Mus musculus: one gene and its partners. The protein of the gene in region 1 purifies or fractionates together with the protein of each later gene. This does not show direct contact. Links are inferred from orthologs where the notes say so. Each region holds a gene or a part of one and is shown in the gene's direction. Other genes may lie near its edges.

What was found.
Region 2: the proteins of Med8 (region 1) and Cdk8 purify together in Homo sapiens (affinity purification with mass spectrometry; 7 studies listed by BioGRID and IntAct, counting the BioPlex papers as one, with this or other methods). This does not show direct contact. The link is inferred for Mus musculus from reciprocal best matches to the Homo sapiens genes MED8 and CDK8.
Region 3: the proteins of Med8 (region 1) and Med9 purify together in Homo sapiens (affinity purification with mass spectrometry; 5 studies listed by BioGRID and IntAct, with this or other methods). This does not show direct contact. The link is inferred for Mus musculus from reciprocal best matches to the Homo sapiens genes MED8 and MED9.

Annotation. Positions count from the first base shown.
Region 1 is NC_000070.6:118,408,125-118,412,248, forward strand, and holds the start of Med8 (mediator of RNA polymerase II transcription subunit 8), read left to right. Parts: upstream 1-1,212; 5' UTR 1,213-1,256; coding exon 1,257-1,262; exon of another isoform or gene 1,263-1,425; intron 1,426-2,760; coding exon 2,761-2,879; intron 2,880-3,401; coding exon of another isoform or gene 3,402-3,449; intron 3,450-3,533; coding exon 3,534-3,678; intron 3,679-4,124. Other genes in the region: KICSTOR complex protein SZT2, read right to left, coding at 1,039-1,065. UniProt on the Homo sapiens protein: Component of the Mediator complex, a coactivator involved in the regulated transcription of nearly all RNA polymerase II-dependent genes.
Region 2 is NC_000071.6:146,297,238-146,300,446, forward strand, and holds part of Cdk8 (cyclin-dependent kinase 8), read left to right. Parts: intron 1-1,565; coding exon 1,566-1,663; intron 1,664-2,260; coding exon 2,261-2,339; intron 2,340-2,454; coding exon 2,455-2,613; intron 2,614-3,209.
Region 3 is NC_000077.6:59,946,795-59,951,096, forward strand, and holds the start of Med9 (mediator of RNA polymerase II transcription subunit 9), read left to right. Parts: upstream 1-1,419; 5' UTR 1,420-1,472; coding exon 1,473-1,684; intron 1,685-4,302.

The DNA of each region.
Region 1 (4,124 bases):
GGTTTTCATGTGTGTAGTTTATCACATCCTCCCCATACACGGGTGTGTGTACTCATACATTATACATATATAAGATCACACCCGTGTCAGAGTGCACGTGTGCAGGTCAGAGGACAACTTGTAGCTGTAGAGCGAGCTCACCTACCTGGGAGTTCTAGCCCCAATACTAGCTGCACAACTATGCTTCTTTTAATAGTGGCACCTCAGTTTCCTGAAAAGAGGGATGATAATGGTGTTTGCCTTATAGGGTTGAAAGAACTGGTAACAGTAAAGAGCTCAGAATTGTGGCTGGCATACAGTAAGAATTCGACAAGTAGCCATTGCTATTTGTATCGTTACGCACATGCATCAACCTTCCCTCCTACAAGGCTATCCCTCTGGGGTCCTGGACACGCTAGCCAAATTTGGTACCTCCTCGGATCCGCTCGTTCAGTTGGAAGGAGTAGTCCTAAGGTATCTTTGCATGGCATGACACCTCACCTGCTCTGACTTCAGTTGTCTGCTCTGTACATGACAATAAATACTGCCAGATTCCCTGCTGGAGTCTGAATGTCAAAACATACATATAGGGTTCTTTGCATCTAGGGGGTGGGGGGTGGGGTGGGGGGGCGGGTGCCTCGTCTGCCTTTTCTGCCTTAACTTGTGATCCCCAAGCCACATCACAGAACAAATACTTTTATAAAGAAGGAAGCAGGGTCTGTCCTAAGTTAAGACTGGCCAGAGGGTTGTAGGGCTTTGCCAAGAGCACGAACGCTAGAGCGAAATCAACTCATGCTATTGATTGCATTCCAATAGATGAGATACAAAAAACCCCGCAAAGTCGGTCAGCTTCGGCGTGGCACAATGAAAATCCCAACTAATAACCAAAACACGAGTTTTTATCAGCATCACTATCGCTAACAAGTCTGTGGATGGGCGACGAAGATCAGGATGGCATCTGAGTAAACAAAACAGCAACGGCCTCCTTGAGGCTCCGGAGGGTGAAGGCTGCCACACGCCCGCCCTCGGGCCTCGGCCCCGCGCCCGCCCATCCCTCACCTCTGGCTCGGGGCGCTCCGAGGCCATCACACAGCCCTCCCGCGCCGGCCCGGGCCAGGGAGGTTGCTCCACTCCTGACCTCTGACCCGGCTAGTTCTGTACCGGGCAGGAACCGGAAGTTGTTGGGATGGTCCCGTTTTGAGTTTTCTGATTGGTGAGCGCAGCAAGCCGTGCGAGAAACCGGAAAGGGAAGTGGTTGCGCCCGCCGGGCCGCGGCAATGCAGGTGAGAAGCGGGTTGGGCCTTATAGCCGCTGGCGGGAGGGTGATTGGGCTGAGGACACCGGGGAGTTGGGGCTGTGAGCGGAGGGCAGAGGAAAGGCAGCGGAGCCAGAGAGAGCGAGGCCAGCTGCGGGAGGCGCGGGCATCGAGCCCGCTGATGTGAGAAGGTCGGAGGCCCGGGGAGGAAAGGCGGACTTGATTGAGCGTGGAAAAGGATCGTGGTGGCATTTGGGAAGGCTCGGGAAAGTAGTGGGCTGCCGCACGCCTCGATCTAGGCTGTTGGACACAGGCGTCATAAGGCTTCAGAAGGCTAAAGGGATCGTGGGCCTCCAAGGATGAAAACTAAGCTGTTTGTAATTCGAGGCTGTGGGTGGAACCCGGTGTCCAACCCCCTCAGTCACATAGTCAGGTTTGCAAATCAGCTTTGCATCATTCTTCCCGGCTTGTACCTCGTTGCTAAGGGCGGAGAAGTGGGGTAAATAGTCCTCAGATAGTCAAACGGAAACCCTCTGCCGCCTCAGCGTTTAAAATTGTCTAACACTCAGAAACAATGTGCAGGTTTCCTCGCCTTTGTCTTTCATTACTCTTTCATTACTCACTTGGCTTGTTGCATCTGATAAACCTACACTGTTTATGGGTCACCCGAATTATGAAAGAGACACGGGAATATTGGCACAAAGATGCACGTTGACTTTCCAAAGCACCAAATGCTATGGATAAACGGCCAGTTGGGGGACCGGGAAGGGGATTGCAGAGCTGGTATTCAGAGAAAACCTTACAGAGAGGCAACGTGTGAGATTGTCCAGATTGTGTGGTTGACAGTAGCTACACTCACAAGAGGATGACCAGAGGCACCCATGATATAATGAACTTCGGGAATTATTTAGGCTGTGTGTGCAGATAGCACCCCTGTTATCATGGCAAACCTTTCTGAGGTGAACTGAACTTCCTGAAAAAAACAAAACAAAACTGTGTCAATGCCAACACCACAGAGTGACACGAGGGATTCTCATCCACCCAAGGAAAGCAGCGCAGTGACAATAAGCAGTCGTGAGGTAGGCAGGCCACATCTATTTTCCAGAAGAGGAACTGACAAAGAAGAGTGTGCAGAAACCTGAGCACGTTCCTATTAACCCTACTGCAAATCTAAGAGAATGTTGTCTACTGGGAGAGGCAGTGTTTGAGAGCTGGGAGGAGGAGAGCATGGAATTAAAAAGGTGCAAGGCTAAGTGAGTTCGAAGCCAGTTTTGTTACAAAGACAAATCATGAGGTTTCAAGCCAAAGAGAATTAGGTCTGGTGCAATGACCTTCTTGAAGGACCACAGTGTAGGAGGGTTATAGAGGAATCAGTTAGTAGGAGGACTTCAGGCCAGGTGAACAGGTTGAAAGGTCTAAGGGTTGATGCTATCTGTAACCCAAATACCAAGATAGAAAACAATTTAGCTTTTCTGAATGTGTCACGCTCACTTGTATCTGAGTAACCAAACACACTGTTGATGCAGAGGGAGGAGAAGCAGCTTGAGGCATCATTAGATGCCCTGCTGAATCAAGTGGCCGATCTGAAGAATTCACTGGGGAGTTTCATTTACAAGTTGGAAAACGAGTATGACCGGCTGACCTGGTAAGGATTGCCAGGACAAGCTGGGGAGGGATCCATGGGTGGTGGGGCCAAGCCCCCTGGCTGACAGGACATCTCCAGCGATGTACCCATTTATCAACTTGCAAATATCCTTTTTGATTTGGAAAGAACTAGGTTGCCCAACATTGACAAGTTTAGTTTGGCTTAAAGCCTCCATGGCAAGGAAGTAGAAAAATGTCCAGTTTCCCAACCTAGGCTGTTTCTAGGTTTTAATTCTTACGCTTTGGCTTCCTTAGTGAGGAGGCATTTCCTCAGTGGAAGACCATTATAGCTCCATTTATGGTGGCTCTCCTTCCACACATGAGGCTGGATCTGAGATCCAGCCTTCTGGAATGATAGAGTCTGTTACTACATTAGGGAGGAGGCTTTACAGACTTACTACAGTGTAACCACAGCCCCTGTTTCCACTGCTCCCAAACCCAGTCAAACAGTGGGTTGCCTTTTTTCTGTATCTATGTCAAAAATTGAAAGTGTGTTCCTCTTTCCCAATTCCATCTCTACTAGCAAATCTGGTTCTTGCCTATGCCAGACACAGGGCTGCGAGTCTTCGGGGTGAGTCTGAGTGTTGCAGCATTAGGACTTTTAGAGGTTACTTTGTAGGGAGAAGTAACTCTGGTGACTTCTCGCCACCTCCAGGCCCTCTGTCCTGGACAGCTTTGCATTGCTTTCTGGACAGTTGAACACTCTGAACAAGGTCTTAAAGCATGAGAAGACGCCACTGTTCCGAAACCAGGTCATCATCCCTCTGGTGCTGTCCCCAGACCGAGACGAAGACCTCATGGTAAGACACACAGTATCTTGTTGACTGGATCCTCTGTGTGGCCATGAAAGGTGAGGGCTGCCGTCTGGAAGACTTGTTTTTATCCTTCTGGGGTCAGGAGAGTCCCCCTTAAAGAATGAAGTGAAAATCAGGGCCTATCTCACCAAGTCCACGACCTTCCTTTTCCAACATCTATGTCAGGCAAAAAGAAAAAAGTCTGTCCTGCTTGCCTGTGACTTTGCTGCAGTCTTTAAAATGTGGGGTTGAGAATTTAGCTCAGTGGTAGAACAGACACAAAGTCCTGGGTCCCCAGAATAGGGGTGGAGGTAGAGATTCACAAAAGACCAAAACAAAACAGCAAAAAAAGACAATTTCAGTGTGGTAGTGGAGGGTGGGATTTAGCTCACCCTAGTTCTGATGGAGTGAGTGAGTGAAAAGAGAGTGTCACAGAAAGCTATCCCTACCTC
Region 2 (3,209 bases), on another chromosome or scaffold:
TTATTGATCCTAACAAAATACTGGTCAAAAGGCATTATTGGGATTGCCAGGTGTATCCCTCAGCTCGTGCCTTCCTTGCAGTCTGAGAGCAGCAGAACCCGAGAGACCATTTCAGGGTTTCACTGCTGTGAACAGATGCCATGACCAAGGCAACGCTAATAAGGACAACAGTTAATTGGGGCTGGCTTATAGGTTCAGTCCATTGTCATCAAGGCAGGAACATGACAGCATCCAGGCAGGCATGATGCAGGAGGAGCTGAGAGTTCTTCCTCTTCACCTGAAGGCTGCTAGCAGAAGACTCACTTCCAGGCAGCTAGGATGAGGGTCTTAAAGCCCACACCTACAGTGACACACCCACTCCAACAGGGCCATACCTCCAAATAGGGCCACTCCCTGGGCCAAGCATACACCATGACACCATCCTTGTAGCTTATTTGTTGATTTTTAAAAATAGTTTAGGGCTGGAGAGATGGCTCGGCAGTTAAGCACTGACTGCTCATCCCAGAATTCAAATCCCAGCAACCACATGGTGGCTCACAACCATCTGTAATGACATCTGATGCCCTCTTCTGGTGCGTCTGAAGACAGCTACAGTGTACTTTATATAATAAATAAATCTTTTAAAAAATAAAAATAGTTTCTTTAATTCTGGACTTTAACCACAGGACCTCACATGTACTTTACTTTCAGGCCAAGTGAAAGTTGGTATCTTAAATGAGTCCTACTATCTCTGCATTTTAAAGATATTTGTAAGGCCTCTTATCCTCTATGAGTCATCATTCCTTAAATCTTTGTTTATTAGTTTATTACTTTTCAAACCAATCCCAGTCCAGCAACACAGACCCCAACTGGGAACTTGTTGGAAATGCAAGTTCTTAGATTCCTGTTCACATCTCTGTTTCTCTCTCTCTTTCTCTCTTTCTCTCTCTCTCTCTCACATACACACACCACTCTATCTGACTCTGGGCACAGGGCTCAGCTCTCTATCTGTCAGGCTGTGGGATCAGGCCTCAGCTCTCAGCCTTGCAACAATTGTGCTGCACTCTGAAGTCTGCAGATCAGAGCAGGAGGCCATTGTTCAGGTGTCTCTTATATCACATTAGAAATAAACATTCCTAGAGAGCAGTGGTGGTACACACCCTTAATCCCAGCACTTGGGTGGGAGGCAGATAGGTCTCTGAGTTCCAGGAGAGTCAGGGCTGATATACAGAGAAACCCTGTCTTGGAGGGGGGAGGGGGAGAGGTGGGGTGGGGAGAAACAAACATTGCAGATGGTGCTGCATTTTCGCACTAGTATAGCATCTCTGGATGTGACAGGGATGAGCTAAGTGTAGCTACAATACTCACACTTAGGATTCTTTCTAAAGAACCATCACAATTCATTTAATACTGAAAACAAGCTGTAGTAATTGGTGATGTTTTTATTTTCCATCTGGAGAGATACAGTTATAAAAAGGTAAACTGACCTGCCCAGTACCCTCAATGGATAAATTGTGAGTCAGGGTTTGGCGTAGACACCGACGTTTCTGTGGGAGCATGCTCTGATATATGACTTGTGATTTCAGCTTCAGAAGTTGCTCACTATGGACCCAATAAAGCGAATTACCTCAGAGCAGGCCATGCAGGACCCCTACTTCCTAGAAGACCCACTTCCCACGTCAGAGTAAGTGGCAGATCTGCTGGCTTCCTGTGACTGGCATCTTTAAGTGTGCTTCCTTCTCTTGTCACACTAAGTTGCCACGCCTCTGAGGGACCTGAAGAAACTGAGCGTCTCTGCTCTAATGCCAGTTTTGGTTTTGTGGTTAAGAGGCATTGCTGAAATGGATGCCTCTTACTCAGTGATGCGTTCACTGTGCTATGGCTCCTTCTACTTGCTAGGATTTTGTGGGGCTGCCTGCAGTCAAGGGTTCTGATATTCTGGAGTAGCAGTTCTAAATAAATCTGCCTTCTCTTTATCATCTTTTGTTTTAACCGTGGAAGGGCAGATGAAACACTGCGAGCTGTGGTAGTGGATGAGAGAGCTGTCCTAGTTGGTGATTATTGATGAGGTTACGCAGAGAAGGACCTTCAGACTGCCTGCTGCAGTGTCATTGGTTAAAGGATTTTTTTGCATCAGACTCGCATGAAAGATGCTTATATCTCTGTAACTATGGAAACACAGTCCCGTCTTCTTAGAGAGTGACAGCGAGTCACCTAGATGAAGCATTGGAAATACCAGGCAGCCAGTGAGACAGCTCTCTTCTTTTTCTCTTGTGACTAGTGTTTTCGCCGGTTGTCAGATCCCATATCCCAAACGAGAATTTTTAACAGAAGAAGAGCCTGATGAGAAAGGAGACAAAGTAAGTATTAAAGTACAGTTGGAAGTGCCTTCTGCATGGCCTCCGGGCCTCTGGCACGCAGCCAGTTTCTGTTCTCCTCCTGAGTTGAACTGTGTTTTCTGTTTAACCAATTGAGAAGACCCAGCAGCAGCAGCAGGGCAACAACCACACTAACGGAACTGGCCATCCGGGGAACCAGGACAGCGGCCACGCACAGGGGCCCCCCTTGAAAAAAGTGAGAGTTGTCCCTCCTACCACTACCTCAGGTGGACTCATCATGACCTCCGACTATCAGGTACTGCAAGTGGCTTCTACTGACCTGCTGTTGTGGGGTTTCTAAACGATCTGTTGTAAAGTGTGGACTACAGTAGCGTTTGTGTTCCTGGAAAGACACAGGCATGGGATGCTATAGGTATGGAAGTCTACAGACATGGAGACTAGAAAGGGATCAGCTCTTGGGACAGACTTGGAGTAGAAAGTCCAGTAACTTGAGACCTGTGGCATTTACAGCACATCTGCTGGGGTTGGGAGATAGTGCAGCAGGTAAAGTCCCTTCACCAGGAGGATTCAGACTCAAGCACCCGTGTAAGTGCTTGGAGGCTTGGTGGCCCATCTGTACCCCTTTGGTCCAGTCATTTCAAAGGCAAAGACAGGATTCTAGTCAAGTGAGCTCTAGGGTCAATTGAGAGGCCTTGCTTCTGTGTCAAGTGGAGAGGAATCAACATCACCTCCGGTTTCCACACGCATTCGTGCAAAGTGAAGCAAAACACAGCTTCAGTGTTTCTCATCTATAAAATGAAGTTGGTAAGTCAGCTTAAACATGTGTGCCTTGAACTTAGCCAATGGCTGCTTTTGTTCCTGAGCACTGTAGAAGAGGAGTCAAGGCCACGG
Region 3 (4,302 bases), on another chromosome or scaffold:
TCTGTGGCTTTGTGATCCTGGGGCTGCTATTATAGCCCTGTAAACTTTTGTTTCTTTTTCTATAAAATGGAAAACTAAGATATACCTTCCAGAGTTTCTCGGTGGATTAAATGAGGGTTTTAATGGTTTCTCGTCACTTTCATTCCACAGTAGTAGTGATAGCTACTGTTTGCTAACACTGCCGTTTTACCATGCATTCTCCCAGATGTCTCCAGAGGTGTCTTCAAGTCTTTTCTGGCACACCTGGTTCCATCTTAGACCATTCTCTTCTCCCTTCTTCCTCAGGAATCATGGCCCTTCCCCTAAGGTGGAGAGGTCCTGGGTTAGAAGGAAATCCTACAGTTTCCTGCAGTGAGAAATGTTCTTCTAATCAGACACTTAGTTCCACAGGGGCCTGTATTCCCTAACTCCACTCCCCCCACCCACCTTTCCCTTTGGGTGATTAGCCCATTGAGTCATATTGAGAAGTTGTGTTCCCACTAATGGGATGAAATGCACCTAAGCCTGAGATGGAAGAAAGTGGCCATTTTGTTGAGTGTTTCTGCTATCTTATCTTGAGTTCTGGTGCACTCATTTTCAAGAAATAAATAAATCACCTTGTTTCACTTTGTTTCTGTCTTCTTTTGAGCAACACTGAGATTATTCTTTTCCTGACAGTGCCTCTGTTTAGAGAACTATCTGCAGCTCTGAAGAAAACAATTCTGAGACCTGTAGCTAAAAAACCTGAAAACACCATTGTGAAGTTCCACGTTCCTGCTTCTTTTTGTTTCTGAGATGTGGGCTCCTGGCCTCTCTTTACTGACATGGTTCCTGTCATCAAAGACAGATGTCCTCTCCCAGTTGACAGCTTCCCTAATCCCTGATTTTTGTTAGTCAGAATCAGAATTACTGCTACCCTTGTCCAGAAAATTTTTAATGGAGCCCATTTGCTTGAAATGAATAAATACAAGCCTATCGTAAAGTTCTCCTATTTGGTCCAAGATCTTAGTCTTATATACGTATGTAGTCTGGCACCTGCTAGATGCATACCAAATGCTTGAAGAACGATTAGTTTTCCCCTTGGCAGCCGTGTGGAACTAGTTTGTATGGCCTGTTTTGCTGTCGCCAGTCTGGGGCCCTCCTGGAGGCTAGCATGACACAAAGACGTGTAAGTCCTTGTCATCTGGATGCTCGCTGCCGCAGAGCCTCAGTTTCACACGGTGCTCACCAGCGTCATCCGTTCTTCCTGCCAGTCCCGGGGGTCCTCGTTGGTGTTTTGACCTCTCTCTGTCATGTGAACTAGAAAGATGACTGGAGTAGATTCCCTAATCCTGACTACTCAATTTAGCTTTCCCGACACCCGTCGCCTAGCAACGCCCGCCCGCCTACGCCCAGGGCGCAGACTCAGAGTTTTTTCCCGCCCGGCCTCCCCGGGCGCGCAGTTGTGACGCAAGCACCCAGCGCCCCTCGGCAGCTGCTGGACTCCTGGTGCTATGGCTTCCTCTGGGGTGGCGGGTGGGAGACAGGCCGAAGATACGCTACAGCCACCGCCCGAGCTGCTGCCGGAGTCCAAGCCGCCACCACCGCCTCAGCCTCTGCCGGTCGCTGCGCTCCCGCCGCCGGCGGCTCCGCGGCCTCAGTCCCCCGCTGGCGCGAAGGAGGAGAATTACTCCTTTTTGCCGTTGGTTCACAATGTCATCAAATGGTAAGGGTCTAGGAAAGGTTAAGACACCACTTTTTGCGACTCTAGTGTCCCTGGTTCCGAGCTGCCAAAGCCCGTGGGCTCTGGACCACGCCCCATTTTCCCAGAGGGCCCACGTTGTCAGGCGCCTTAAGAGTTACACTTTACTCCCGGGTGAAGCCCACGTACTGATCAAATGCATAGATAGGTTCTGCAGTGTCCCATCCCAGATCCTGCAGTGACTTGGGGATGGGTCTTAAGTCCTTACACATAGCCCGAAGGCAATTTTATACAGTTGTTTTAATTCGCCTGCGTTTTGACTGTTCGCATGAAGCCCAGAGCGGAATTTCTCACTTGTGGCATTATATGAGCCCCGAAAAGTGTTCGAATTTTGGTGGACCTCAGACGTTCAGACTCGAGATTCTCACCGTGTACACAGTTTAGTACCCATTTCAATGCGAGGCATCTTACCTGTGTGGGCTCTGTTAGGTACTAGGGTTGTACACCGTAAAGAAAGGAGCAGCCATTTACCCTTACAGGGCTTAACGGTTACAAGCAAAGAAAAACAAACAAACATTCTTAAAAGTGGAGAGATGGCGCACACCTTTAATCCCAGCACTTGGGAGGCAGAGGCAGGCGGATTTCTGAGTTCGAGGCCAGCCTGGTTTACAGAGTGAGTTCCAGGACAGCCAGGGCTATCCAGAGAAACCCTGTCTCCAAACAAACAAGTGGAGAGGGGAGAAGTGATGCTAGGAAACATTTGAAACGAAGACACAGAAGTTGCTCTGAATGATTGTGTCCCACTATTAACTTTATTCTAATAATTCTAATAGAATATACAAGGATGTATGGTCTTTTAGGCCCAAAGTCTCCAGTCTCCATGATGGCCTATGTTTTTGCTCACTCCATATACGCTTGGGTCATTTCCAAGAGGTACACTTTTTGGTGCAAGCATTCTCAAGTGTGCTTTGATAAACTTAGGTGACGCGGAACAGTTACTGCCTGGTGCCTCTTTGTGCAGTCAGGATTCTTAGCAACACTGGGAGTTGGACAGGTTGGTGGGTAAGAGCACTCGCGGTACAAACGGCACAAGGATCTGAGTTCCAATCCTCAGCGTCCACATAAAAAGCCAGTCATGGCTGCTCGTGCCTGGAGCCCCAGCGTCCCAGCGCTACAGACAGATCTCAAGAGCTCTGGCCAGGCTGCCTGGCTGACACTGTTAACTTCCTATTTAATATGAGACCCTGTCTCTAGGCAACAAGGCGAAGCGCTACAGTATAATACATCCATAAACTAGTGACATCATTATTTATTATCATTATCAAGCATTAAGAACTACCTGTAATTGTATAGGTAATACTTTTTATCCATCAGGCAGTATACTTTTTTTTTTTTCACACTCTTGTGAGTGGCGCATTCTGCTGCAACATTACCACAACTACTTTGTCATTAGGCAAAGGAAGGTTTTGGTTACATTATAAGCATTAGACAGTTACTGAATATATGATCTGGCATTAATCAGGTTATTTAGCACATACCTGTATAGCCACAGGACACTAGGTGCAAACCTCTGAATTTCTTCTAAACCATTAGATACTAAAAGTAAATTAAGACAAGATTACAGTTCCGGTCACATTTAGGAACATTGGCAAGCCCTCTTGCTGGAGCTGAGGCAGTCTGGGTTTCTTGCTCTGGTGGTTTGGTGTTTGTCTTAGGACTGCTACTGCTGTGCTGAAACACTGACCAAAAGCAAACTGTGGAGGAAAGGGTTTATCTGACTTACACTTCTGTATCACTTTTCCTCACTGGAGGAAGTCGGCAGCAACCTGCAGGCAGAGGCTGATGTAGAGGCCATGGAGGAGTGCTTTCTTGCTCAGTGCGCTCTCTCTTCCTTTTTTATTGTGTTTGTTTCTCCTTGTATTCCTGGCTGTTCTGGAACTATTTTTAAGCCAGGTTGGCCTCAAATTCAGAAATCTGCTTGCGTCTACACCCCTACGTACTGGGATTAATGTCATGAGCCACCACTGCCCAACTTCAGCGTGCTTTCTTACTCTAGTAAGACCACCAGCCCAGGGTGACTCCCCACAGTGGGTGGGGCCTCCTCACTGTAATCACTAGTTAGGATGCTCTTCAGGCTCGCCTACAGCATGCTTCTGTGGGAGCATTTTTCCAACTGAGTTTCCTTCCTCTCTGCTGACTCTGTGTTAAGTTGACATAAAAGTGGGATAGCACAGCGCTCATCTGCCGCTTTTCAAATGACTGCAAAACCTTGGTTCTCACGTTCACTCCTCTCTTGGCTTCAGACAACGTGAACCTCCCGTATGCAGGGTAAGGCAGACTGTCCCCTCTGTGTTAGCTGTTGGCAAATACATTATGAGATGGAAGTGAGGAAAATAAAAACCATCTCAGGGCAGTGCTGGAGTACTGGTTTATTCAGAGTAACTTGCAAACATTAAAAACATGGGAAATCAGAACACAGATGTATACACATTCACCTATACCTCAGGAAGGATCCTCCTGACCCGGAAGAGCAGTTGGGTTGGGCCAGCCTCAGTGACAGGAACACGATGTGAAGTCAGAGGGTCTGAGGTCAACTCTCTGCTGAAGCTTGCTTTATCATCTTTGTAAATAGTTTTCCCAGG